Oryctolagus cuniculus: one gene and its partners. The main gene of each other region encodes a partner of the protein of the gene in region 4 in a complex. Links are inferred from orthologs where the notes say so. Each region holds a gene or a part of one and is shown on either strand. Other genes may lie near its edges. The genes, in order: TCERG1, CDC25C, SPAG5, PLK1, MIS18BP1, KNSTRN and MIS18A.

Region 1 (4,027 bases), on a different chromosome or scaffold from region 4:
CTCACTTCTTGTTTTGTTGTGTGTTTTTTTTAAACATTCTTAGAACTGTATCTTGAAGCTACATTTAATCTGTTAAAAACTGAAAAATAAAAAGGAAATGTAACTAAAAAAATTAAAAATTCATTAAAAATTTTTTTTATTTGAAGGGGAAAGAGGGAGAGACAGACAGAGACATCTTCCATTCTCTGGTTCACTCCCAAAATGGCCACAGGTCAAAGCCAGGCACTCAGAAATCCATCTGGGTCTCCCACGTGGTGGGGGGAGGGCATTGGACCATCATCCTCTGCTTTCCAGAAAACTGGATGGGAAATAGAACAGCCTGGACTTCAACAGGCACTCTAACATGGGATGCTGGCGCTGCAGGTGGCAGCTTAACCTGCTGTGTCACAACGCTGGTCCCATGGTGGTGGTGGTTTTATTTTTTTAATTGTATGGAAAGTACTGGTATACACTGTTAAGTCTGAGTAAAATTTATTAATGCTTTGAGCTCTTTATTAATAGGTTTGCTTTCATCTTGTCTTTGCAACTCCAGAGCCTCAGCCGTCTTTTCCCCTTTAATCGAAGAATAAAAGAAATATTTAGAGTTCTTTTTGGGTAGCAGGGTGTGCCAATTTCAGATAACTGCATTTTGAGATTGAAGGAGGACGCTAAGGCTGTGTACTGCTAAGAGGCTGGCTTCTCCAATTTACTTTTTCAATAAAGCAACTCAGAACACCCATCAGATGCAACTAATTAGTACAATTTTAGGAGGTCTTCTTGTAATCACCAGATATTATTTCATAAACTGGATACACAGCCGAGTGCTGACTTAAGACTCCAATAAGTCAAATAGCGAAAACTCCTTCCGCCTCAACTCTATGATTGGTTTAGGCGCGATCCAGGTCTTTTTTGATTGGCTCACCCCGTGGAAATGCTTTCGGCCTGAGCTACTAGTGGCCAATATGGCTCCACAATTGGGTCTCCTGGAAGCCGGCAGACACGTGGCTACTTCACGCTGGGCGAAACGTGGGAGGACCTAGTTTCGCTTACCGCGAGAGGGCGCCGGTGGTTCCTCTTTGCTAAAGTCTCATTTCCCATAAAGCCTCCGAGCGACCAATCCTCTGGCTGTCTCCATACCGCTTTCAAAGTCGGCGGGTCCTTTGTCCAATAGTAAAGCAGATACCGCCTCCACCTGGAGGATGGATAGAAAGCTTCACCAATCATCTCATAGACTTCCGCTATCTCCGCCTCTCTCGCACGGGATTGACGATCCTTCCGGCCAATAGGTGGCGTCGGGTCGGCGGGTGGATGAACGCGGCCCTCTGTAATGGCGGAGCGTGGCGGGGACGGGGGGGACGGTGAGCGATTCAACCCGGGGGAGCTGAGGTAAGGGGCGCTGCCCTCTCGCACATCTCGGCGCGCTGGACTCCCAGTGGCTAGGCCTGCTCGTGGAGATCCGGAGCGGACGGTGGGCAGCAAGGACGGGGCGGGTTGGGGCCAGAACCGCATGGGGTTAGAGAAGGGGGAAGGGAAGGTGGCTTGAATGAGAGCCGGGCCGGGGCCGTGCCGCGCGGCCTTCTGCGCGGTCTCGGGGTGCTCCCTGCGGCTTCCGCGGGGCCCAGTTGTCCGTCGCGGCCTGCAGGCCGGGCCGGGCGCTCCCGGCTTGGAGCCCCACCTCAGCCGCGTGCCGCCTGGGCCTCTGCCGCCCTCCGCCTGCCTTCCCGGCTCGGCTCGGCCGCGGCCCGCTTCTCCCCATCGACGTCCCTAGGCGGTGCGGTTAACTCCCAGGGGCCTCTCCCGTCTCTGGCTCAGCCTTCTCCACGCCCTCCGGGCCGTCCACGTTTGCTGTTTGATCTCGTCCCCCACCCCCACCCACTTGCCTTTCTTAACTTCCTGTGGCTTGTCTCCCTCGGTCTCTCTCTATCCCTCCGTATCCCGGAGCTGTGAATAACAAAAGCGGCAGCGGGGGGTGAGGCGCTTACTTGGGGCTGTCTCTCCTCTCCTGCCCGAGCCCACCCGCTGCAGGAATTGGTGCTCCGGCTCTGTAGGCCCCAGCGCCGAGGGCCCTTCGGCCAAGTTGCTCGCGCGGCTTACGGATGAGGAAACCGAGCCTCGTAGGGGTTTGAGTGCGGGGTTAAGACCGCTTGGGTGGAGCAGGTTAAGCCGCGGCAGGCAGGCTATGGACGTGCAATTTCGGGTAATTCTGTTCTTCTCCTCCACCCCCCCCCCCCCCCACCCGTGCTCTAAAAAAGGAGCGCAGTGACCTTCCTTCCTCGGGAATTCAGTGCCTGCGGAGTTTGTCGTTAGAGTTTGATAAGAAAAATGTGACCAGGATAAAAAACAAGCAACAAGCCGGTTTTTGAGGGGATGGGAAAGAGGTCCTGTGCTTGATGTATATCTAGTGTACTTTCTCCCCACCCCCCCACCCCCGCCCCGATGGGAGAAATGTCATTTCAGATGTTCAGCTGACATTCTGAATTGTGCCGTTGTCAGCGTTTAAAATTGAAAAACGCAGTGGAGATGATGACGAGTCTAATACTGTCCAGAGCTTATTGTTAGAGTTTTAGGAGAAGATAATGTCTTTCAGATTCTGCAATGTTAGGCACAGAAATTTCTACTTTGGCAGTACTTATTTCAGAGGTAGTTCTTAAGCCCATCAGCCCCATATGCACAGTGGTTAATGAGTGAACAAAGTGGGTAGTGGGTATCTTCCAGTGTTAATGGTGGAGCTTGTTCTTGATGCTGATCTCAGAAGATTACTGCTTGGCTAGTCTCAGATGGATTGATTAGGTAACATTGTTTTATGTTTCATGGAGTGTTTTCAGCTGTACAGTCATAGCCTTTTAGACTATTTGTAAACTAGATATTGCAAAACTGATTTAGGTAGGGCATTAGATTAGGTGTGCTGTTGCAGGTAGTTTAGCCTCTTGGGTTGGAAGTTGCAGAGCGTGTGGATAGACCTTTGTTTTAGCATTTATCATGATTTATGAGAAATTAGCTGTTCATGTGTTCTGTGCTGGCAGAAGTTTGGACTCAGTCTTTATAAAAATCTATCCTGGATGTATTTCGTGGCTGTGTCTATCACAGTGGCAGACAGAATAATCTATAGATAAATAAATGAAGACAGGAGACTTAGAGGTGGTACCCTTGCTGGCCTGTGTTCATGAGGCAGTTACAGACCTGGATGCTGGCAGTAGATCCTGAACCAAATCATGAGAGGCCTTTGCTCTCCCCTTTGTTTCCATTCTAATTGAGACTGATCCAGATTCTGAACTAAACCAACCACATGAAATGAAAAACCCAATGTGCAAGTTTGAAATGACTTATCCAAAGTCGATGGGTAGTGGCCAGGGTTTAGACTGAAACTTAGGTCTCCTTACTCAATTATTGTAATTTGCCTCCCATGTACATCTTGCCCCTCCAGTTAAAGTGTTTGCAGTCTAGTTTTCACCATTGAGATTGCCTATCTATATAGAGCACTCCTAGAAAAATGTTTGTATTTCCATGGTGTTCTTGTGAATTTTTGTTTGTTTGTTTCTAGTCTCATAGATAGTCTTTTGCTTCCCAAAAAGGTTTTAAAGCAGCAGGAAGTACAATAGATGGAAATTCAGAGATCCAAATGCCATCTGTCCCTTTATGGTTGAGGGCCATTAAAGTAACTTTCAAAGTCATGTTTATCTAACACATACAAGTTCCCATCCAGTGGTTCACAACTTGATTCATGTCTCCACTACTTGAGCCATTATCACTGCCTCCCAAGGTGTACACTAATAGGAAGCTGGAATGGGGAGCAGAACCTGGAACTGAACCTGGACCCAGGCACTCGGATTTGGAATGCGATGTTCCAGCTGCCAGCTTCATTGGTCCAGCAGAGGCCCACCCAGTAGAGTCATATTTACATGGATCCTTAGGGTATGTGTTTTCCTATTAATACTTAGGACGTGAAGTACTTGCAGTCTAGATTTTCTTGCCTGTAGAAATGAGAGTAAGAATACCCTGCTGTTAACTATTGACCAACTGTCTTAAGCAAATTGTTTTTCTGTGCTAT
Region 2 (4,289 bases), on a different chromosome or scaffold from region 4:
TTCTATCACTTCTGCTCTTGGTTTCTCAACTCTGCCCTAAAACATAAACCAGAGAGGGAACCTAATTGCAGGCTTTTACCCCAGAGACCCCAGGCCTCAGGCTGCCCAGCCACGAGGCGCAGGGAGTGAAGCAAACTCTTTCAAGCTTTTCATGAGGCATTTGGACAAACAGCGAACTTGCAGCCCTCGCTAGGATCAAGTGAAGAGAGTGATTTTGTGTTTTTCTGCATTTTAATTGTTGGGATGTGGCCACACACAGCGGTAACTGGAACAATGCAACTACCAGCACGCAACTGATACTCTCGGCCTGAGTCTCCTAAAACAGGCCAGGCTGAGAGGGGGAACAGAACGGAAGCCATAAGGAATCAAACCAGGACACAAAAGAAGGCAAACCAGCTCCACGAGGGGCCTCCTCTTTCTCAAGCAGGCACTGAAAAAAGTGCAAGAAGCCCTCTCCTGCCTGCCGCCTTCCTTCCCCTTCCATTTTGTGTATCTGGGGGCTAGGGACAGTCCTGAACATTCACTGAACAAGTTAAAACTTCTCAGCTTAACAACTGGCACAGGGCTCAGCCCTGCGCCGAGCAGCAGGCCGCTGCGCCCTCCCTGCAACCGGGCCCAACTCTCAGACCAGGCTTTCCCTCCTCACCACCAGCTCCCCAAAAACAAAGATCAAATCCCCCAGCCCATGGCCTACTGGTTGGCAGAACCCCTGACACCCGAGCCTGAGGGATGCTGAGGCTGTGCTAAAACCTGGGCAGCCCAGGACCAGGTCAGGCCAGGGGGGAGGCGAGACTCAAATCCCCGGAGACCTTCGCCCAGGTCTCAGCCCACTCCTCTGGGGGAGACAGAAGGAAAACACGAGGGAGACAGGGAGGTGCACTAACAGGTAAGTGGGGGAACCTGACTGCTCTTCCTCCATATGGTGTGGTGGAGATAGGAGTGACAAGTGGGGAGCACCCCTCCCCCCACCGATGAAGAAGCAAAAGGCTTGCCCCCCCCCACCCCAATCTTCCACCTCTCCCTCTGTTGCCCTGCATGTCCCCGCGGGGTGGGGCTTGGGGCATCCGGGGCCCCTGGGGGGGGGCGCCAGGCCTCGCTCAGGGGGGTTGTCGCCCGCCTCTTCCCACTCCAGGCCCATCATCTGGCCGCGGGAGGCGAACTCAGAACGCAGGGGATGGGGAGGGTCTGGGACTTAGCACTCCGCCACCCCCTCCCCCACCGGGTCCCGTGCTCTCCCCGCGGAGGCGGCCTGCGAGGCCGGGCCGCGCGGGCGGCCGGGCTGGGGGAGGGGAAAGAGGGAAGGAGGGAGGGACGGTCGAGGTGCCCGCCCCGAGGCCCCAGCGCCACCTGCCCTCCGCCACCTACCGCGGCTCCTCCAGTTCCCAGGGCCGCGGCCGGAGCAGCTCTGAGCGCTCCGTTCGCCCCACGGTGCCCTTAAAAGGCGCCGGCGCGAACCAACTAGCCCCTAAGGAGCGTGGGGGGATGATTCCGGTTCGCGGAATCACTGGAACCACCCGCGGAGGCCCAGACCCAGCGTCGCTTGTCTCTTAAAGTCTTCCTCCGACAGCGCTGTCGGAAACGAGCCTGGCACTTTGATTCAGGGACAGGGGATGCTTCTTCAGTAACGAGTCACCCCCTCCAAAATATCGGTGAAAATGGATGGGCCCAGTTGGAGGCATATCTTCAAATCCGCGGGGGAGGCCATGTCGGACGAAGGTAAACAAAGCCATCATCCCTGCCCTCCATTCCCACAGCGGCTCAACTGCAGCCTCCCACTCGGTCCGGTCCGGTGATAGAATTAGCCACGGTGCCTCTCACCTGCTCTCTTGCCCCGCCCTCCACGGCTACTTCTCTGGAGGAATCCCCCTTCCCCCAGCAAAGGACCAGTCCTGGGCGCGAAGGCTGCTGGGAAGTGTAGTCCAAGCGCCGATTAGGGCCTGCTCCGAGTCCCAGGAGCCGCTCTTCCAGATACCGGATCGGCTCGAACCTTATAAATCCAGCCCTTAGAACGGTTGCGGGGACGTTCCCGCTTGGTTCTATAGTTTGCCCTTACCCAGCACACTTTGCAGAGCTAAGGAGGGCCCAGGGCCGTTCACTCCCTCCCCTCCCGCTATGCCCCCCTCAGCAGGATGAGGTAATGGGATTGTGATTATGACATCATAGGCGGTTCAGTGGCTTGCGGGGGAGGGGGGAGCGGGGGAGCACGGTGGTTACAGCTGGACCACTTTCCTTAAGACAGGGAGCGTGGAAACGGGCAGATGGGAGAAGATGTTGGCTGCGCTATGTTCCTCGAGGAAACCACCTTTTATTAAAGTCTCCATCATTATCACCACCCCAGCAAAGTTTTTTTTTTTTTTTTTTTTTTTTTAAGAAACTGAATGTATGCGTTAATAGGTTGGTTAGGTGGTTTCTGGCTGTTAGGTAGATTTCAGTCTCAACATCAAGGATGGCGCAGAGAGGGGCAGGTAGGTAGCTCCAGCTGGGACTCCCACACCCCGTACGGGAGGCCCACCCTGGGGCAGCAGCAGGTGATGGCTTAAGTTCTTCGGTTCCTGCCACCCATGCAGGAGACCCGGATGGAGTTTCTGGGTCCTGGCTTCAGCCTGGCCCAAACAACGGCAGTTGCTGCCATTTGGGGAGTGAACCATTGGATGAAGGGTATTTTTCTTTCTGTCACTCTGCCTTTCAAATCAAATAAAAGTAAATTAAAAAATTTAAAAAACGGTTTAGAAAGACAAGCAAAAAAATGGGAAAAAAAGGTTTGAAATAACACCTTTGGATTATGAGTTCTTTGTAGGGCAGTGTTTTACTTTTAGTGTTTTTTTTTTTTTTTTAATTTTTTAATTATTTGAGAGAGAAGAACAAGAGTGAGAGCAAGTATTCCCATCCCTGGTTTCCTTCCCAAATGACTACAATTGTTAGGGCTGAACCAAAAAGTCAAAAACCAGAACTCCACTCAGCTCTCCTACAAGAGTGGCAGGAACCCAGTTATGTGAGGCATCTCCAGTGCCTCCCATGGTCTGAATTAGCAGGAAGCTAGAGTCAGGAGCCAGAGGTGAGTACTGAACCCTGTACCTTGTATCTGAGGTGCACTCCTTAGCTACCAGGCCAAACACTGCTGTCTAGATTTCTGTTAACATTGATTGGAAATTAATAGTAATGCAGGTCATGTTCATTATTAACACTCGGCAGCAAGCTCCCCGAGAGACCTATGTTTTCCGTAAATATTTTCAGCCCTACTCAAACCTGGGACAGGTAAAAGCTTTGATCAGCAAGAAAGCAGAGCCAGTGATGGGGAATCTTGCTTGCTGAGCCAGGAAAGGAGACAAGCAGAAGCAACCGAATCTGCAAACTGAAAAGGAAGAGTAAAGGGAAAGCGAGGTATCAGCCGAGAAAGTGGCAGTGGACACATTTGCCTTGCAGTGTACATCCCCGTTAGCAAAGGAGAAGGGGCAGAGGCAGGGCCATGAAGTGTAGGGGAGGTGGTTTCTGTGACTGCACACATAGGATGTGCCAGATACCATGCAACGTACTTCAAACATGTATTCTCATTTTTGCGTGCAATCACCAAATGAAAAAAAAAAAAAACACAACTCCTTATTTCACAGATGAAAGAGCCGGAGAAGTTAACGGACTGCTCATGGGTAGGCAAAAGTAGTCTCAAGAAGCAGTCCAAGGCTCTGAAGCCCTGCCTTTCACCACTAGGCTGTTCCCCTTTTTATTATTAACCTTGCTTACTAAAGTTAAATGGTTGAGTAAAAGAAGTTAAGGTGGCATTGGCTCATTTGCAAAACACTGAAAGAAATTGTGATGCTTAAGAAAAGAAAATCCCTGCAAGTGACATCTCAGGCCTCTTTTCAAAGGAAGGCTACATCCTTCAAGTATAAAATAATTCACTGCCTCCCCCCCACCACAGCCTAACACTCAACACTCCTGCCCACAATTAAATGTCTTTCTGCCACCTTTTGTTCTCAACATTTTTTTTACTGATGTCCTACTATTTTTCTTCCTGCGCCCCCCCCCCCTTTATTCTTCACTTTTAGGCTACTACTTGGAATCCAATCTTTTTATTCTTTCCCCAATAAGCCTTTTATTGAAGAAATACAAACATCATGCATTTCAAAAGTGCAACTGTAGGATAGTGATTCTTCCCACCATACCCACACTGCCACCCTCCTCCTCTTCCCTCTCTCACTCCCAGTCCAATTCTCCACTAAGATCCATTTTCAGTTAACTTTATACACAGAAGACCAACTCTATACTAAGTAAAGGGTTCAACAATTTGCACA
Region 3 (3,500 bases), on a different chromosome or scaffold from region 4:
GTAGAGCAACCAGGACACAAACTGACACCTAAATGGGATGCTGGCATCGCAAATACTGGCTTTAATCACTATGCTGCAACACCTGCCCCTATTTTTAAATCATCGTAATCATTGGGGGTGGCTGCTGTATTATTGGTTAAGAATCACTGCTCTGAGCCGGCGCCGTGGCTCAATAGGCTAATCCTCCACCTTGCGGCGCCGGCACACCGGGTTCGAGTCCCGGTTGGGGCGCCGGATTCTGTCCCGGTTGCCCCTCTTCCAGGCCAGCTCTCTGCTATGGCCAGGGAGTGCAGTGGAGGATGGCCCAGGTGCTTGGGCCCTGCACCCCATGGGAGACCAGGAAAAGCACCTGGCTCCTGGCTCCTGCCAGGATCAGCGCGGTGCGCCGGCTGCAGCGGCAGCCATTGGAGGGTGAACCAACGGCAAAAAGGAAGACCTTTCTCTCTCTGTCTCTCTCTCTCACTGTCCACTCTGCCTGTCAAAAAAAAAAAAAAAAAAAAAAAAGAATCACTGCTCTGGGACCAGTGTTGGCATAGCAGGTAAAGCTGCTGCCTGCAATGCTCGCATCCCATGTGGGCACTGGTTTGAGACCCAGATGCTCCACTTCCCATCCAGGCCCTTGCTGATGTACCTGGGAAAGCAATGGAAGATGGTCCAAATGTTTGGATCCCTGCACTTACATGGGTGATTTGGAAGAAACACCTGTCTTGGCTTCAGCCTAGCCCAGCCCTGGCCTTTGTGGCCATTTGGGGAGTGAACCAGCAGATGAAAGATTCTCTTTCTCTCTCTCTCTCTCTTTCTCTGTGTAACTCTTTGAAATCAAATAAATAAATATTTTTTTAAAAAATCACTGCTCTAGGTATTGAAATTATTAATGATTTCTCTTTCCGTTTTTATTCATGTTTATATTTTCCAAAATGTTGCAATAAACACGTACTAGTTTTTTACGTATGTAAGAAGAAATTTTTTTTTTTACCTGTGTCTTGATTTGTCTTTCTGACTTGACTTCATCTAGCCATGAAACTCATACCTCCTTTTAACAGGAAAGGCTCCTGTAACTCACTGGGTTGGGAGGGGACTGAGGTTCCTGTGGTATATGCTGCTATCTCAAAAGGAACAACTGTGTTTCTCTACTAGATAACTAGGGAACCTCAATATCTTCAAGAGAGCCAAGAGATTGGACAGGCCTTGCAGCAGGCCAGGAATGTCATGGTAAGTGTTGATTGACCTTGTAGCATTTCTGGGTCTCCCATAAAGATAAAAAATGGAGATCTGGAGCATGGACTATGGCATAGCTGGTTAAGCTGCTTCTTGGGATGCCAGTGTCCTGTATTAGAGTGCCTGGGATTGAACACCATCTCTGCTTCCCATCCAGCTTCCTGCTAATGCCCTTGAAAAGCAGGAAGTAATGGCCCAGGTACTTGGGTTCCTGCCATCCATGGGAGACCTAGATGGAGTTCTGGGCTTCTGAGTTCCTGGCTTTGGCCTAGCCTAGCCCCAGGTTTTGCAGGCATTTGGGGACTGAACCAGTAGATGGAAGATCTGTCTCTCTGCACTCTGTGCCCCCAACCCTGTCACTTTGCCTTTCAAATAAATAAAACTTAAAAAAAAAAAAAAAAAAATGGAGAATATGGGATGGGCATTTGGCCTAGCAGTTAAGATGCATGGTCAAGATATCCATGTCCCATGTTAGAATGCCTGGGTTTGGTACCTGCCTGTGGATCCTAACTGTAATTTCCTGCTATTACAGACCCTGGGAAGCAGTGGTGTAGCTTGAGTAATTAGATTCCTGCCGTTGACATGGGAGATCTGGATAGCATCCCTGGTTCCTGGCCCTAGCCCCAACCCCAGCCCAATTCTGGCCATTGTAGGCATTTGGGGAGTGAACCAGTGGATTGGAGCGCTCTATTGATCTATCTGCCTGCCTCTCAAATAAATAAAAATTAAAAGAAAAAAAGGGTGGGGAATCCTGGTTGGTTAATAGATGGTGATACACAGCTGTGGGGGTGAAGAGAGGCTTCCAAACCTTGGTGAATGATGTCTCCTTATTGGAAACTTGGAATTGGGGCCAGTGCCTTTCCTCCCCCGTTTGCCCTGCTTCCTTCTTAGTGACTGTGCTTGCTGTAGCCTAACCATTTTCCCCTCTACAGCAATCATGGATGCTAGTTTCTAAAGAGCTGACATCCCTGCTTCACCTGTCCCTGCTGCACTTAGAGGAAGATAAACTCACTGTGAGTCAGGAGGTAAGCAGCATGGAGGTAGAGGCGTTGGTGGGATTGAAAGCCAAGAAAAGGAGCCAGACAAAGCACCTGATTCTTACTTTGTAGTCTCGACATGCAGAAACACTGGTCTCCTGCTGTTTTGATATGTTGAAGAAACTGAAGGCAAAGCTCCAGAGCCTCAGTGCAGAAAAAGAAGAGGCAAGGCACAGAGAGGAAATGGCCCTCAGAGGCAAGGATGCGGTAAGGTGCCAGGTGCCTGTCCCCGGACTGGGAGGGCTCTGCCTCACATTTCTGTAGGAATGCGCTGGAGACACAGACGAGTGGCCTACAAAGTGCCTGCCCTGGGGAATAGACTGAACTAATGGGGTGCTGGATGGCCATGGCTTTTTGTGCTGTTTCCCTCTGCTGCCCATTATGTCCTTTCAACCTCTTTCCTAAAACAGGCAGAAGCAGTGCTGGAGGCTTTCTGTGCACATTCCAGCCAACGCATCAGCCAGCTAGAACAGAACTTGACCTCCATGAAGGAATTCAGAGACCTCCTGAAGCAGACCCAGACCCAACTGGTAACTGAAAGGCATTTTCTTTCCTGGGGTTCCTGCTGGTGCACTTGTATGTTGCTGCCCCTTCGTACGCAAGCCTTCCCTTGTAGGTAGAGCTTCAGAAAGAGCAGGAAGGGCTGATCCAGCAAACAGTGAGTCTGACTTCTACCTTGCAACAGGACTGGCTATCCATGCAACTGGATGTGAGTATTTGGGGCTATCATAACCACTCACTCATAAGGCAGCCCTGTTAGGAGCCTTGCTTCAAGTGTGTTCAACTGACTTGCCTGCTTCCTCTGGTAGTACACGACATGGACAGCTTTGCTGAGTCGGTCTCAACAGCTCACAGAGAAACTCACAGCCAAGAGCCGGCAGGCTCTCCAGGAGCGTGATACTGCAATTAAGGATAAGCAGCAGGTACAAACCAGGAGTGGAGACTTCTTAGGACTGCCTTCCTCCTTTGCCGAAGGCCTTTCTGTTGTGTGACATCATTAGCCTCTTACTCTGTACCTGTCTGCTTCTTCACCCTGGGAGTTTGGAGACCAGCCAACTCCTTTAGCTGTGAGATGATGGCCTTGAGCCTAGTTGTTTGCTTTGCTCTTCAGCACCTTCCTCGCTTCAGCAGTTTTTCTCCTGTCTACGTCTTCCTAAGGATGAGCCTTATTTTCTGTAGTGTTGCTGTCTGGGATCAAGATAACTTCCCGTCTTGTCCAGAAAGAGAAGCTGGTCTAGATCCTGG
Region 4 (3,500 bases):
ACGAACACGTGGGGAGTCACGGCACACTTCTCTCTGCCTTTGGGTAAAGTTGAAAACATCCATGAAGTTTTTTGTTTTTAAAAAAAGCTGTAAGTTCAAAATTAAACTGAAAAGTAATCCTTAAAAAACCCCAGTATTATATTAATATAGCCCAAAGAACAAAATAAACAATCCTTGAGTTCATTACTGACATAAATAAGCAAACAAGGAGAGGGCCAGCTCTTCCTTAGAGGGCCAACTAGTGAAACGCAGGAGCAGGGAAAAGAAAGAGCACGAGAACACAGTGAGCACTGCTGCAGGCAGGCCCCGCCGTGGGCGCTAAACTCGGCACGGGACACTGAGCCTAGCAGTCATACATCGGTTAGGACACCTGCGTGTCACCTGACTCACCACTTCCTGCTAATGCAGACCCTCCGAGGCACTGGCAATGGCTCAAGTAACTGGGTCCCTGCCACTGACATGGGAGGCCTGGACCGAGCTCCTGGCTCCAGCCTTAGCTCAGACCCAGCTGTTGCAGGCATTTGGGCAACAAACCAGTGGATGAGAGCTTTCTCTCTCTCAGATAAAAATAAGAGAAACCCATCAGATGCCACGGTAACCAAGTGATCACAGTTAATAAACACCACCACTAACAAGAGAAAAAAAAAATCAATGTGTACCCCTGATAGACTACATGGAGCCGGCGCCGCGGCTCACTAGGCTAATCCTCCACCTGTGGTGCTGGCACCCCAGGTTCTAGTCCCGGCTGGGGTGCTGGATTCTGTCCTGGTTGCTCCTCTTCCTGTCCAGCTCTCTGCTGTGGCCCGGGAGTACAGTGGAGGATGGCCCAGGTCCTTGGGCCCTGCACCCGCATGGGAGACCAGGAGGAAGCACCTGGCTCCTGGCTTTGGATCGGTGCAGCGCACCGGCCGTAGTGGCCATTTGGGGGGTGAACCAATGGAAGGAAGACCTTTCTCTCTAACTCTGCCTGTCCAAAAAAAAAAAAAAAAACCCACGAAACAAACCAGAGTCCACGGAGAAGGGCGCATCACTTCTGCTGCACTCCCCCAAAGTCTAGAACCTCAGTGTGAGCGCGAGGAACTCCAAATCCACAGAAAGAGCGGAAGTGGAAAACCTGACGAGGGCCCAAGACAGCCTGGAGTGTGAAACTACCGGGGCCGACGCTGAGGGGGAGCAGTGAAGCTGCCGCCTGCTCCACCTCCTATCCAGCTCTCTGCTATAGCCTGGGAAGGTGGTGGAAGATGGCCTGAGCCCTTGGGCCCCTGCACCCGCGTGGGAGACCCGGGAAGCGGGGAGCTCCTGGCTTTGCATCGGTACAGCTCCGGCCATTGTGGCCAACTGGAGAGTGAAGCAGCAGATGGAAGACCTCTCTCTCTCTCTCTCTCTCTCTGCCTCTCCTTCTCTCTCTCTGCATAACTCTAACTTTCAAGTAAAACAAATAAATCTTAAAAAAAAATTTACAAAGTGAAAAGTAGAATTCAAAAAAGAAAAAGAAAAGATACTGCCCTGTGTTTTAGTCCTTCTCTGTGGTTACACAACACGCTGATGCGCGGGAAGCCAAGGGAAGGGTATATGGGAACTCTCTCTGCAATTGCTATTATCTTTTAGAATTTCTGTATAAGCCTAAAGTTATTCTACAATAAAATTCTAGAAAGTAATCCCTAAATATTGAAAACTAACAAACAAATGAACTTAAGTTGTCTATCAAACTGAGATACACCTAGAGGAAGTATTTCAAGCTACTTTAAAAAAAAAAAACAAAACAACATATCTTTGGAGCCAGCACTGTGGCGTGGCGGGTTAAGCTGCAGCCTGCAGTGCCGACATCCCATATGGGCGCTGGTTCTAGTCCCAGCTGCTCCACTTCCGATCCAGCTCCCTGATATTGCACCTGGGAAAGCAGTGGAAGATGGCCTAAGTCCTCAGGCCCCAGTACCCACATGGGAGACTCAGATGAACCTCCTGGCTCCTGGCTTCGGCCTGGCCCAACCCTGGCCATGGCAGCCATCTGGGGAGTGAACAAGCTGATGGAAGATCTCTCTCTCCTCCTGTAACTCTTTCAAATAAAATAAATAAGTCTATATTTTAAAAAGAAGATTGCTCTAAAACTATATTGTATCCATGTTAAATTTCTTGAGCTTGATAACTGTTATGCACTGTGGTTATATAAAATAATCTTTGTTTTTAGGAAATACACACTGAAGTATTAAGGGTAAGAATGGAATACTTACATACACAACTTACTTTTAAACAATTCTGTGTGCATGCAATGCAAATGAATGATGTCTTCAAAAAGTTAATGGAAAAACCTGTATTATGAAAAACTACAGGTTCAACTTCGCACCAAAATAAACTTCTAATTCCATTTTTTTCCCATTAACTTTTTGAAGTACCCTCATGTGCAGTATACGTGGGAGGTAGAGGAAGAAGATAAAAGTAAATGTAAAAAAAAAATGGCAACTGGTGGATCTAGGGAACAGGGTAGACGGAAGAGGAGCTTCCTGTTTGTTCTTCCACCTTTTTTTAACCTTGAAATAATAGCAAAATAAAATGCTACGAAAAAGGGAATCGCAAACATTATCATACACCCAGATGTCCCCCTTTAAAGTAAGTATTTCCTGACTCTGTCCTATAGAAGAGACCCAGAGGAAATGACAACCTAGGTAATGGCACGTGACGTTAGATTTTCCTAAGAAAATCGAAGCCGCATACTGAAGTTATGGGTACAATGGCAAGATGTCTGAGGTTAACTTTAAGAATATATCAGAGAAACAGGGAAGGCTCCGCAGGGCAGGTGTGACTGCTCAGATGGTGGGGACCTGGAGGCTCCCACAGCCTGCTCAGGGTGTGTATTTGAAACTGTTCCTGTCTCCTTCAATGAAGCATGAAGAAGTGATATTAGGGGCCTCGGTTCTCTCTGGGGTTCTGTGTCTGACCCTCCCCTTGCTTTACCTTTATTAAGGACGGTGAGAGGCTTCCGGCTGCTGGGGTCCAGGCTGCTGGGAGCGATTGAGAACCTGGGTGGAATGGTGAGGCAAGTGATGGGCAGCCGGGCAGGGATGTAGCCGGAAGTGAAGAACTCGTCACTGAGCAGCTCGTTAATGGTCGGGCGGGCAGAGGGGTCTGTCTGCAGCATCTTCTGGATGAGGGACGCAGCCACAGGGTTGATGTGCTGGAGCAGAGACAGAGAAAGCCCTGAGCCGGGCGTGGCCGTGGACTGGGACAGCAGTGCTGTCATAGCGGGACCACAGCCCACAGGGCAGCTCCGGGTCTCAAGTAAGCCATGGTTCCACAACTAAGAACATCGCCAAGCTCCCCCTTATCGACCTCACGGAGCTGACGAGTGAGAAGGATCACGTTTCTTCCCTCTTGGAACTCCAGATTAAGCTGTTTTCCCCCAGACTTGCCCTTGCACACCTAAAGTTGCTCGTCTCCACTGCAGCGCCTTGAGGACACAGGCTTTGAGGTCTTGCACCTGTTTAAACACCGTTTTGCCCTCA
Region 5 (3,500 bases), on a different chromosome or scaffold from region 4:
AAAAAAGAATGGCCCATGGAGCAATGAGGAGCAAGACAAACATACCTTATATCATCTCCAGGTCAAACAGAATGTTGGGTATGGAAGAAAAAGAGCCACCTCTTTAATCAGCTGTTTGTGGAAGTCATATTTTAGTTAGAGCAAAGTTAAGAAATGTTGAGAGAAGACAGGTAATAGCAGTCATAACATTTACATAGCTCAAGAAAGTACCAATGCAATATCTGGAGAATTGCAGATGAGTAAGAGAATGAGTCAGAATTAGGGGCTTTATAGAACTATGAGTACATAGGGATAACAGTCCTGCTTGAGAAGCTTAGAATTCTTATAGCAACTACTGTGGTGTCCCTTAGAGTAGCTGTCCTCAAACTTTCTTGTTCAACCTTTTTTTTTTTTTTTTTTTTTGGACAGGCAGAGTGGACAATGAGAGAGAGACAGAGAGAAAGGTCTTCCTTTGCAGTTGGTTCACCCTCCAATGGCCGCCGCGGCCGGTGTGCCGCGGCTGGCGTGCTGCGGCCGGCGCACTGCGCTGATCCGATGGCAGGAGCCAGGTACTTATCCTGGTCTCCCATGGGGTGCAGGGCCCAAGCACTTGGGCCATCCTCCACTGCACTCCCTGGCCACAGCAGAGAGCTGGCCTGGAAGAGGGGCAACGGGGACAGAATCCGGCGCCCCGACCGGGACTAGAACCTGGTGTGCCGGCGCCGCAAGGCGGAGGATTAGCCTAGTGAGCCGCGGCTCCGGCCTTGTTCAACCATTTTTAAGTCAATGTCTAAAATTTTTCATCACAAGTTTATGTATTTGCAAACATTATAATTTCTAGCAAATATATTGACACAAAACTATAGTTGTTATATCACTATTTCAAATTTAGATGAAATCTCAATGCTATCCATCATTATTCATTTAAAAATCAATGGACAAACTTGTAATAATTGGAAATTTTACCTTTCTCTTTGAACTTATTAGCTTATTTATATTTCCATTCTACTTCTTCAGAGAATTTATCCTAATGTAACTAAGCTCTAAAATCTTACTGAGCATCCTGTATTACTTTACACTTGGAAAATTTTCAAATCTTCAGATGATATAATTTGTTTCTATTTCAATTGTTCTATTAATACCAAGTACCCCAAGGACCAGTGTTGCGGTGCAATAGGTTAAGCTGCTGCTTGTGATGATAAAACCCTATAGTGGAACGCCAGTTCAAGTCTCAGCTACTCTGCTTCTGATGCTGCTTCCTATTAAGGTACCTAGGAAGACAACAGATGATGGCCCAAGTGCATAGGCCCCTGTTACTCAAATGGTGAGTGGGGGGCAGAACGGAGTTCCCAGCTCCTGGCTTGGGCCCCAGTCAAGCCCTGGCTGCTGCAGGTCATATGGAGAGTAAACCAGCAGATGGAAGATATCTATCTCTCCCTCTGATATTGTGCCTTTCAAATAAATAAATAAATCTTAAAAAAAAATAGTAAGTGCCCCAAGGATCAGGGCAAAAAGAAAAACAATAAAAATCAGGAATGAATTCAATGTTCATGCCACACAAGACATAATTGTTAGAAACTCCACAGTTCCTAATACAACAAAAAAAATTTTAACACCTGGATCTTCTTACTTCTAGCCCAGTTATTTTCACTGGGCCACAATGCTGGTACAGTAAAGAACAAAACATGAAGTTACCATCAACAATGTCAGAATATAAGAGCTTAAGCTCTTCAATAACATGGAGAAAAATATCTACATTAAAAGTTTTCCCACCTGAGTTTTTTTAACTTCATCCGTAACTGCTTCAAACACATTTGGAGGAGAAAGCTTGGAAACATTTCTTTTTGACCTTCGAGGTATTGTTACATGAAGTCTTGGACTTGCCAATATAATTTTACATGTATCTTTCATGGAATCTATAAGATCAATCTCTCTGGGCACTGTTTTTTCATTTTTGTCCTTAATTTCTTCTTGTGAAGTTCCTTCTGTTGTCATCTCACTATCAGTAACCATTAATTGACTGCCATTCTTAGTAGGAACACAATTTGTACTAAGAGTCTCAGTATTAGTATTTTGGAATTTTTCACAGGCTGACTCACTGTTCTCTATAACAAAAGTGTCCTTTTTGGATTGAGTGGTTGCAATCGTATTCTCCCTGGGGTGAAGAATTTGTTCAGTCAACTGAGCTCTGAATAATGCCTGGTTTGAGACTTTTGTAGTTGAAATATTTTCTTGTTCTTGGTTCAGAACTGGAAATTCTGCAAAACATGCAAAACAAAACAAAATTTATAGAACGACCATATGCAATAAAAGAACAAAAAAGGAGTCAATTAAAACTGTTCAATATATTGGGGCAGTGCCGTGGCGCAGTAAGTTAATCTTCCACCTGAGGTGCTGGCATCCCATATGGGGCACTGGTTCTAGTCCCAGCTGCCCCTCTTCCACTCCAGCTCTCTGCTATAGCCAGGGAAAGCAGTAGGGGATGGCCCAAGTGCTTGGGCCCCTGCACCCGCATGGGAGACCAGAAAGAAGCACCTAACTCCTGGCTTCAGACTGGCGCAGCTCCAGCCATTGTGGCCATCTGGGGAGTGAACCAATGGAAGGAAGACCTTTCTGTCTCTCCCTCTCACTGCCTGTAACTCTACTTCTCAAATAAATAAATAAAAATCTTAAAAAAAAAACCTGTTCAATATAAAAAAAAATCTTCAGATAACACTTCACCCTCCTGCCCAGTCTTTCTCTGAGTGCCTCTAAACTTTACAGTCGAAGCTTTTGTCCACAGTCAATGCTTAATATCTACCCAGGGAATATAATTACCTAGAACATCTAACAACACATTCAAGTAACAAACTTAAAAGCAAAACAAAATCAAAAGTTTACCGTAAGTTAAATTGTGCTGCACTGCTTTCTTTACCTCCTGGTGTTGAATCTTTTGCTTTACCAGAGGGAATTCTGATGACTCTAGAGGTTGAGATTTTTTCAAAAATTGAATTAGGCACAGAGAAGAAAAACCTGTCATTTTATTTATTCTTTTTTAGCAGATATAGTCTTTTTCTTTTGAAGATTTATTATTTATTTGAAAGGCAGAGTTACAGAGGCAGAAAGAAAAAGAGAGAGAGAGAGAGATCAATCTTCCATCCACTGGTTCACTCCCCAAATGGCCTCAACAGCTACAGCTAGGCCAGGTAGAAACTAGGAACCAGAAGCTTCTTCCAGGTCTCCTGAAGGCCTGGAAGGCCATCTGCCGCTTTCCCAGGCAGACTAGCAGGGAGCTGGGTCAGAAGTACAGCAGCTGGGACTTGAACTGGTGGTGCCCACGTGGGGTACCAGTGTTGCAGGTGGCAGCTTAACCCACTATGCCATGATGCTGTTCCCAAAACTATCATTTGAATATCATGAAATAAAGATACTTAGATATAGTAATGATCAGACCACTATAATGTGCTTTTGCAACATGAGAGTAATAAAAATTTTTACCTTTATTACTTTCTCATCCTTTTATCTCATTCTCTATTTTAGTA
Region 6 (3,500 bases), on a different chromosome or scaffold from region 4:
ATATGCTATATTGAGTACATGTCTGGTCGTTCTCTCCTATCGGGGACAATCAAAGATTACTTCTGAGGATTGCTGTGCACATGGGGGAGACTTTGAGACTCCCAGAGGCCCAGAATCCCTCGGCCTGACCCATTCACACCCAACCCTCACCATAGAGTCTGTGTGATCCGTGGCGGGGGTCTGCTGTGGCACCAGGGTCTCACCGCCTAAAACCAATGGGTATGACAGTCAGCCTCATTTAGCACACTTACTTTAAACAAAAGAAAGCAGAGGCCCCACCAGGGACAGAAGGGCTTTTATTCATGAGGGAAATTAAGTGTCCAGTCCTAGACGTTCTCTCCCGCGTTCTCACCCTGGTAGGGTCACCCACGCCATTCACAGCTGCTGCACTTCCCCCGTGTCTCTAGATTTCAGTATGCCAAAAAAATCACTCTACTCTCCTTATCCCAGCTGAAAATCTGTACAAAGAAAATGTAGTTTTTTGTTTACAGTATAAAAACTACCTTTAAAAAATATTATGATCTATTTATTTGCAATGAGACAGAGAAACACACAGACAGAGCTCCAGAAATGCCCGCGATGGCTAGAGATGGGCTGGGCTGGGCCGGAGCAATCCAGGTCTCCCATGTGACTGGCAAGAACCCAATTACTTAAGCAAACCTGGGCATTCCGATGTGGGATACAGGTGTCTTAACTGCTGGGCTAAACCCTTACCCTACAAAACTGTTTTTAAAAGCCTTTCAAGCCTTAAAAAATTGTTGTTTTTCGTTAACAGTGTGTGCACACAGTTAACTTAAATCATCAAAATGTTTACAGTTACTGCAAAGAATATCCTAAACCTGTAACCCACAGGTTAATCACAGTCAGCATTTTTTATTATAAATTAAAAAAATACATTTATTTGAGAAGCAGAAAGAGTGAGACAGACAGAGCTCCCATCATTGGTCTAATCATTCCATGTCTCCCATGAGGTGACAGGAACCCAACTACATGAGCCATCACTGTTGTTTCCCAGGGTCTGCATTAGCAGGAAGCTGGAGTCAGAAGCCTGGGCCACAGCAGGCATCTTTTTTTTCTTTTTTTTTTTTTTTTTTTTTTTTTTTTTTTTTTTTTGACAGGCAGAGTGGACAGTGAGAGAGAGAGAGACAGAGAGAAAGGTCTTCCTTTTGCCGTTGGTTCACCCTCCAATGGCCGCCGCGGCCGGCGCGCTGCGGCCGGCGCACCGCGCTGATCCGATGGCAGGAGCCAGGATCCAGGTGCTTTTCCTGGTCTCCCATGGGGTGCAGGGCCCAAGCACCTGGGCCATCCTCCACTGCACTCCCTGGCCACAGCAGAGGGCTGGCCTGGAAGAGGGGCAACCGGGACAGAATCCGGCTCCCCGACCGGGACTAGAACCCGGTGTGCCGGCGCCGCTAGGCGGAGGATTAGCCTAGTGAGCCGCGGCGCCGGCCTACAGCAGGCATCTTAACTGTTGGGCTCAACATTCGCCTCAGACTTGGCATTCTTCAATTCCACGAGGCCTCAGCCCTTTTCTGGCCATTCTGTGGCTCCTCTTGCACTCTTTGGGCAACTCCTTTTTCCGGTCTCTTCTTTGCTAAACTCTGCTGTCCAGGGACAGGGTCAGAACTTGAGTCCCATGTCAACCACAGAATCTGCTGGATTCTGTGACTAGCTAGGTTCAGGACCCCTTGCAAAAGTATTCTCCTTTACCTCTTGCCATCAAGGAGTCACCAGCATGCTGTTATCTCCCATGAAAGGAGCAAAATATTTCTGGTCTGTTTGCAACTTTAAACCTGTTGGCACCAAATGAATGGCATAAAGAGTTTAGATAAGAAAGAGATAGGGGCCAGCACTTGGCACAGCACCTATTCCATATGGGTGCAGGTTCAATCCTGGCTGGTCCACTTCCAATCCAGCTTCTTGATGATGTGCCTGAGACAGTAGTAGAAGAAGACCCAAGTCCTTGGGCCCCTGCACCCACGTGGGAGACCTGGAAGAAACTCCTGGCTTCTTCATGGTCAGCTCTAGCCATTGTGGCCATTTGGGGAATGAACTGGCAGATGGAAGACCTTATCTCTCTGACTCTCCAACCCGCCCCCCCCCCCCCCCCCGCCAACCCCCGTAACTCTGCCTTTCAAATAAAGAAAAGAAAGAAGAGAAAGAAAGATGTTTCTGTCTTCAGTCATTTGAAATTCTGTCGGGCAGGCCAAATGAACACTGTATGGAAACAAACAGAAGCTCTCAAAGCACTTTAGTGCTTTGTCATGCAACCTTTGCCCTGCCTGGACCAGCTGATGCCACACTGCTAGTCAGCTCAGGAAGGTGGACCTGTGCTGTTCTCTTTGAAGGCAGCTGTGTGTGTTCTCTTACCTGGGTTAAGGCCCTTGCTCTCCAAAATTGCCAAACAGTTGTCCTGAAACTTCTCTAGAAGCTCTACCTTCTGGGTCAGGTCCTTCAGCTCTCCCTGTGGTGGTGGCGCACAGTCAGTCGGGAACCCTCCCAGACTCCACGAGTAGACAGCCTTCCTCCCCCTTGCTCCTGGACAGCGCCAGCACGAGCCTGGCTGCTTCTCTCTGTGCGGTCAGGCAGTCAGGCACTGCAAGCCTGCTCCTCCCCAGAGCGCCATCCCTCAAGACCGCACACGCAGTGCCCAGTGGCAGCTAGTGACAGAGGTGTGGTGGGCTTCTCACCTGAGTTTCTGTCAACTTCTGGTGCAACTGCTTGTTGACGGCCTCTAAGAGCTGGTTCTTGTCTTTGAGCTCTTCCTCTGATTTCTGCTTACCCAGTGGTTTATAACTGCAACAGGTGTATTTACATGGAGGGGGACTGAATGTACGCTATGGAGTTACACAAACAGGGTTCCCCACATCATAGTGGATGATCTACAGTGAGCTGCCCAACCTCCCTAAGGCTCTGTTTCCCCATTTCTAAAATAGGATAATATTCGCAGTTCATATTATTATAAGAGGGACTGGCGCTGTGGCATAGTGGGTAAAACTGCCACCTGCAGTGCCGGCATCCCATATGGGTGATGTTTTTGAGTCTGGGCTGCTCCACTTCCAATCCAGCTCTCTGCTATGGCCTGGGAAAGCAGTGGAAGACGGCCCAAGTCCTTGGGCCCCTGCACCCATGTGGGAGACCTGGAAGAAGCTCCTGGCTTCGGATCGGCCCAGCTCCTGCCGTTGTGGTCATTTGGGGAGTGAACCAGCGGATGGAAGACCTCTCTTTCTCTCTCTGCTTCTCCTTCTGTGTAACTCTGACTATCAAATAAATAAATCTTTAAAAAATAAGGGAGATAACATGAATGATCCAGAACCTGCCTACTGGTCCACAATGAATATTTCATAAGTAGCCATTACCATCATCAATATTCAAAACTTCTTTTTGAAATTCTCAGTCTCCCTTCCCCCTCCATATTTGTCAATTATTTATCAAAAGAAACTATTCCTCAGGCATGTAATATCATGTTTCACTGTTCAGGAACACAGGTCAGTGACAAA
Region 7 (3,500 bases), on a different chromosome or scaffold from region 4:
CATCCCATATGGGCACCAGTTCGAGTCCTGGCTGCTCTACTTCCAATCCAGCTCTTTGCTATGGCCTGGGAATGCAGTAGAAGATGGCCCAAGTCCCTGCACCCACATGGGAGACCCTGAGGAGGCTCCTGGATCCTGATCAGCTCAGCTCCACTGTGGTCATTTGGGGAGGAAACCAGTAGATGGAAGACCTCTCTCTCTCTCTGGCTCTGGCTCTACCTCTCTCTCTCTCTCTCTCTGACTTTCAAATAAATAAAATAAATCTTAAAGTAAAATATAATAATAAAATAAAATAAACCCAGGGACTTCAATGTGGAACACAGCTGCCTTAACCAGTAGGATAAACACCTGCTCCTAAATGAGACTTTAAGTAATAAATTGTGGTGGTCAATACTTGATTAACCAAATGTCAGCAACTGTAACAGTTATTCTCCAACTTACACTGTGTTTGCCTCTCATTGTTACAAGATGCGATGGTTTAGGAAAGTAGGAAGTAGCAGAAGAATCAGCTGGCAATGGAGGGAAACCAGCTCTGGGCTGGCAACCAGCTACATCTAAACAGTAAGGACGGAGATGCCAGCATCTCTCAAAGAAAACTCGAGGGGCCAGGGCTGTGGCGCCAGCTCCCGGCATCCCACAGCGGAGTGCTGGCGGGAGTCCCCGCAGCTCTGTCTCTGCTCCAGCTTTCTGCCAATATGCCTGGCAAGGCAGAGGAAAATAGCGTGGTAGGCAAACTGCAGAAGGCAACCGACATCCTACTTAGAAAACCAAAGATGCGGTGGGAAAATGACATGGCACCGAGCAACTGATAAAACTGTAAATAAATGGCACAGAGGGCAGCCCTGGCATTACAATTCCACCCCAAGGGGCCAGTGCTGTGGCATAACCGGTTAAGCTACCACCTACAAATCCAGCATCCCACTTGGGTGCTGGTGCTAGTCCCTAACGTTCCACTTGCGATCCAGCTCTCTCTAATGCACCTGGAAAAGCAGCAGAAGATGGCCAAGTCCTTAGGCTCCTGCATCCATGTGGGAGACCCAGATGGGGCTCCTGGCTCCTGGCTTTGGCCTTGTCCTGCCCTGGCCCTTGCAGCCATTCGGGCAGAGAACCAGCAGATGGAATATCTCTCTCTCCTCACTCTCTCCCTCTGTAGCTTTGCTTCTCTCTGTGGCTTTGCCTTTCAAATAAATAAATCTAAAAAATACACACACACACAAACTTATTTTTTTAAAAAAAATTCTGCCCAAGAAGTAGCCTGTCTCCTAAAATCAACTGTTCAGGAAAAACAGCCTTGACAACCATGATCTCCTGCAGTAAAACCTCCCACGTATTTTCTTCTGTAACACAATATCGCTTTTTAGAAAAATTACTCTCATTTTATTTGAAAGGCAGAGAAAGACAGGAACCTTCCATCCACTGTTCACTCCCCAAATGCCTGCAACACACAGGGCTGGCCCAGGCCGAAGCCAGGAGCTTGGAAGTCAGTCTGTGTCTCCCACATGGGTAATAGGGACCCACCCAAGTACCTGAGCCAGCATCTACTGCCTCCCGGGTTTACATCAGCAAGAAGCTGCATCAGAATTAAAGCAGGCCCTGTCCTATGGGTTGGGGACATCCCAAGCAGCAACTTAACCACTGAGACATAGCCCCAGAAAATACTTAAAAAGAATCCTTCTCAAGTTCATTCCATTTTTAAAAACAAATGAACACAGGCCAGCGCCGCGGCTCACTAGGCTAATCCTCCGCCTTGCAGCGCCGGCACAAAACCGGGTTCTAGTCCCGGTCGGGGCGCCGGATTCTGTCCCGGTTGCTCCTCTTCCAGGCCAGCTCTCTGCTGTGGCCAGGGAGTGCAGTGGAGGATGGCCCAAGTACTTGGGCCCTGCACCCCATGGGAGACCAGGAGAAGCACCTGGCTCCTGCCATCGGATCAGCGCGGTGCGCCGGCCGCGGCGGCCATTGGAGGGTGAACCAACGGCAAAGGAAGACCTTTCTCTCTGTCTCTCTCTCACTGTCCACTCTGTCAAAAAACAAACAAACAAAAAAGAACATATTTTTACTCCAAAAAAAAGCCACAATTTAGGAGTGCTGATTTTTCCAATATCAAAAAATTAGAGCAAAGCAAAGAGAAAAACAGAGAGACAGAGAGAGAAATTAACTGGCTTTAATGTCAGAAAGTACTACCTGGAAATGTCGTTTAAGCGTGGTTTAGCTCTGACGTCTTCATAGCAATTTCTCTGCAAACTTAACTTTCTGAGAGGTCAGTTACCCAGCGGTCACTTAAATATCAAACTTACCTTTCAATGGCTTCAACACTGAGGCAAAACAAGTCCCTCTTGTAATCAAGGCTCTTGGGGGTGCATCTGTATATGTAGCCGAGGTTGAGGGAGCAGCCGACGCAGTACAGGGTCTCGAGGACGCTGCGTAAAGACATAGCACCGCTTTAGGAAGCAAAGCAGCAACTTGCTACAGAACACCCACTGCTGGCACCCACAAACGCTTCAACACTCAGGTTTCCAGGGTTTGTCATTCTGACCATGTTTAGTTACATGTATTCATATAAGGAAGGAAAAAGATGAGAGTAAGACATTTATAATAGAAATGCAAGGACAGCCACACTGCCATCCACATCTGACGGCAGGAACATGCACACGGCAACAAGAGGAGGAGACCATCAAGTGCATGTGTTACGGCGCAAACTCTGCGGCCAGGGCTGTGCCCCAGCAGGTTAAGCTGTCGCTTGAGATGTCAGCATCCCATATGAGGCAGGTTCAAGTCCCAGCTGCTCCACTTCCAATCCAGCTCCCTGCTAACATGCTTGTGAAAGTGGCAGAAAATGGTCCAAATGCTTGGGCTCCTGCTACTCACATGGGAGACCCGGATGGAGTTCCAGGTCCTGGCTTCAGCCTGAATTAGCCGTGGCTGCTGTGGCCATTGGGGAGTGAACCAGCGTATGGAAGCTCTCTCTCCCTCTTTCCGTAATGCTATCTTTCAATAAATAAATCTTAAGAAAAATAAAGAATGTAAACTCTTTGATTATAAAGAAAATTGGGAAATAAGACAAAAAGATTCTATGCGTCCTTTTAATGCCATTGTCCAAGGAGCCCAACAACGGCAGGGAGAGGCAACTCCTGTGTAATGACGCAGAGAATAACTAATCCTTACTACTGGCCTCTGCCGTCACGGCACGAAAACAGCTTACAGACACTGCAGAACTCAATCACCTGGGTTCACAGAGAGGCATCCAGCCCAGGGCCTCTGCCTGCCCCCGCATTGGCAGAAAGCTAACACAGCCCAGTTTAGAAAAAGCCTCTAAAGTTAAATGACAGCCTGAAGAAAGCCCACCAATGCACCGTAAGTGAGTTTAGTCTGGCAGGGACACAAACCATCCCTGTGAGTAGCAAAGCAAGCCCCAAAGGCTGAGGGGCCATAACTCGATCTGCCGACCCTGAACCAGCTTCCAGCTCCCTCGTTAAGGGGTTTTTAAAAAGTCTCGGATGTGT

Evidence for each region.
Region 1: the proteins of PLK1 (region 4) and TCERG1 are in contact, whole or in part, in a crystal structure (PDB 3Q1I), measured with the Homo sapiens proteins. The link is inferred for Oryctolagus cuniculus from reciprocal best matches to the Homo sapiens genes PLK1 and TCERG1. Residues at the interface, in NP_005021.2 of Homo sapiens: Lys413, Trp414, Val415, Asp416, Tyr485, His489, Leu490, Leu491, Arg516, Phe534, Phe535, His538, Lys540; in NP_006697.2 of Homo sapiens: Pro101, Pro102, Pro103, Met104, Ser105, Ser106, Met107.
Region 2: the proteins of PLK1 (region 4) and CDC25C are in contact, whole or in part, in a crystal structure (PDB 3BZI), measured with the Homo sapiens proteins. The link is inferred for Oryctolagus cuniculus from reciprocal best matches to the Homo sapiens genes PLK1 and CDC25C. Residues at the interface, in NP_005021.2 of Homo sapiens: Lys413, Trp414, Val415, Asp416, Tyr417, Tyr485, Glu488, His489, Leu490, Leu491, Arg516, Phe534, His538, Lys540; in NP_001274511.1 of Homo sapiens: Leu126, Leu127, Cys128, Ser129, Thr130, Pro131, Asn132.
Region 3: PLK1 (region 4) and SPAG5 share a complex: the UniProt entries of both Homo sapiens proteins name them as parts of the astrin (SPAG5)-kinastrin (SKAP) complex. The link is inferred for Oryctolagus cuniculus from reciprocal best matches to the Homo sapiens genes PLK1 and SPAG5.
Region 5: the proteins of PLK1 (region 4) and MIS18BP1 are in contact, whole or in part, in a crystal structure (PDB 8S31), measured with the Homo sapiens proteins. The link is inferred for Oryctolagus cuniculus from reciprocal best matches to the Homo sapiens genes PLK1 and MIS18BP1. Residues at the interface, in NP_005021.2 of Homo sapiens: Lys413, Trp414, Val415, Asp416, Tyr417, Asp419, Tyr485, Ser487, Glu488, His489, Leu490, Leu491, Arg516, Phe534, His538, Lys540; in NP_060823.3 of Homo sapiens: Asn73, Ile74, Phe75, Gln76, Ser77, Thr78, Met79, Leu80.
Region 6: PLK1 (region 4) and KNSTRN share a complex: the UniProt entries of both Homo sapiens proteins name them as parts of the astrin (SPAG5)-kinastrin (SKAP) complex. The link is inferred for Oryctolagus cuniculus from reciprocal best matches to the Homo sapiens genes PLK1 and KNSTRN.
Region 7: the proteins of PLK1 (region 4) and MIS18A are in contact, whole or in part, in a crystal structure (PDB 8S30), measured with the Homo sapiens proteins. The link is inferred for Oryctolagus cuniculus from reciprocal best matches to the Homo sapiens genes PLK1 and MIS18A. Residues at the interface, in NP_005021.2 of Homo sapiens: Lys413, Trp414, Val415, Asp416, Asp419, Leu490, Leu491, Arg516, Asn533, Phe534, Phe535, His538, Lys540; in NP_061817.1 of Homo sapiens: Ser50, Met51, Trp52, Ser53, Ser54, Met55.

Annotation. Positions count from the first base shown.
Region 1 is NC_091437.1:33,947,069-33,951,095, forward strand, and holds the start of TCERG1 (transcription elongation regulator 1), read left to right. Parts: upstream 1-1,227; 5' UTR 1,228-1,306; coding exon 1,307-1,365; intron 1,366-1,961; exon of another isoform or gene 1,962-2,094; intron 2,095-3,739; exon of another isoform or gene 3,740-3,891; intron 3,892-4,027. UniProt on the Homo sapiens protein: Transcription factor that binds RNA polymerase II and inhibits the elongation of transcripts from target promoters. Regulates transcription elongation in a TATA box-dependent manner.
Region 2 is NC_091437.1:26,133,040-26,137,328, reverse strand, and holds the start of CDC25C (M-phase inducer phosphatase 3), read left to right. Parts: upstream 1-1,489; 5' UTR 1,490-1,716; intron 1,717-4,289. UniProt on the Homo sapiens protein: Functions as a dosage-dependent inducer in mitotic control. Tyrosine protein phosphatase required for progression of the cell cycle. When phosphorylated, highly effective in activating G2 cells into prophase.
Region 3 is NC_091448.1:44,093,542-44,097,041, reverse strand, and holds part of SPAG5 (sperm-associated antigen 5), read left to right. Parts: intron 1-1,137; coding exon 1,138-1,212; intron 1,213-2,150; coding exon 2,151-2,243; intron 2,244-2,327; coding exon 2,328-2,462; intron 2,463-2,665; coding exon 2,666-2,785; intron 2,786-2,871; coding exon 2,872-2,964; intron 2,965-3,064; coding exon 3,065-3,178; intron 3,179-3,500. UniProt on the Homo sapiens protein: Essential component of the mitotic spindle required for normal chromosome segregation and progression into anaphase. Required for chromosome alignment, normal timing of sister chromatid segregation, and maintenance of spindle pole architecture.
Region 4 is NC_091450.1:15,668,720-15,672,219, forward strand, and holds part of PLK1 (serine/threonine-protein kinase PLK1), read right to left. Parts: intron 3,173-3,500; coding exon 2,953-3,172; intron 1-2,952. UniProt on the Homo sapiens protein: Serine/threonine-protein kinase that performs several important functions throughout M phase of the cell cycle, including the regulation of centrosome maturation and spindle assembly, the removal of cohesins from chromosome arms, the inactivation of anaphase-promoting complex/cyclosome (APC/C) inhibitors, and the regulation of mitotic exit and cytokinesis.
Region 5 is NC_091443.1:30,696,404-30,699,903, reverse strand, and holds part of MIS18BP1 (mis18-binding protein 1), read right to left. Parts: intron 2,941-3,500; coding exon 2,860-2,940; intron 2,238-2,859; coding exon 1,753-2,237; intron 1-1,752. UniProt on the Homo sapiens protein: Required for recruitment of CENPA to centromeres and normal chromosome segregation during mitosis.
Region 6 is NC_091443.1:63,572,886-63,576,385, reverse strand, and holds part of KNSTRN (small kinetochore-associated protein), read right to left. Parts: intron 2,797-3,500; coding exon 2,691-2,796; intron 2,465-2,690; coding exon 2,371-2,464; intron 1,794-2,370; coding exon of another isoform or gene 1,720-1,793; exon of another isoform or gene 1,658-1,719; intron 459-1,657; exon of another isoform or gene 353-458; intron 207-352; coding exon 151-206; intron 1-150. UniProt on the Homo sapiens protein: Essential component of the mitotic spindle required for faithful chromosome segregation and progression into anaphase.
Region 7 is NC_091435.1:12,609,061-12,612,560, reverse strand, and holds part of MIS18A (protein Mis18-alpha), read right to left. Parts: intron 2,418-3,500; coding exon 2,295-2,417; intron 1-2,294. UniProt on the Homo sapiens protein: Required for recruitment of CENPA to centromeres and normal chromosome segregation during mitosis.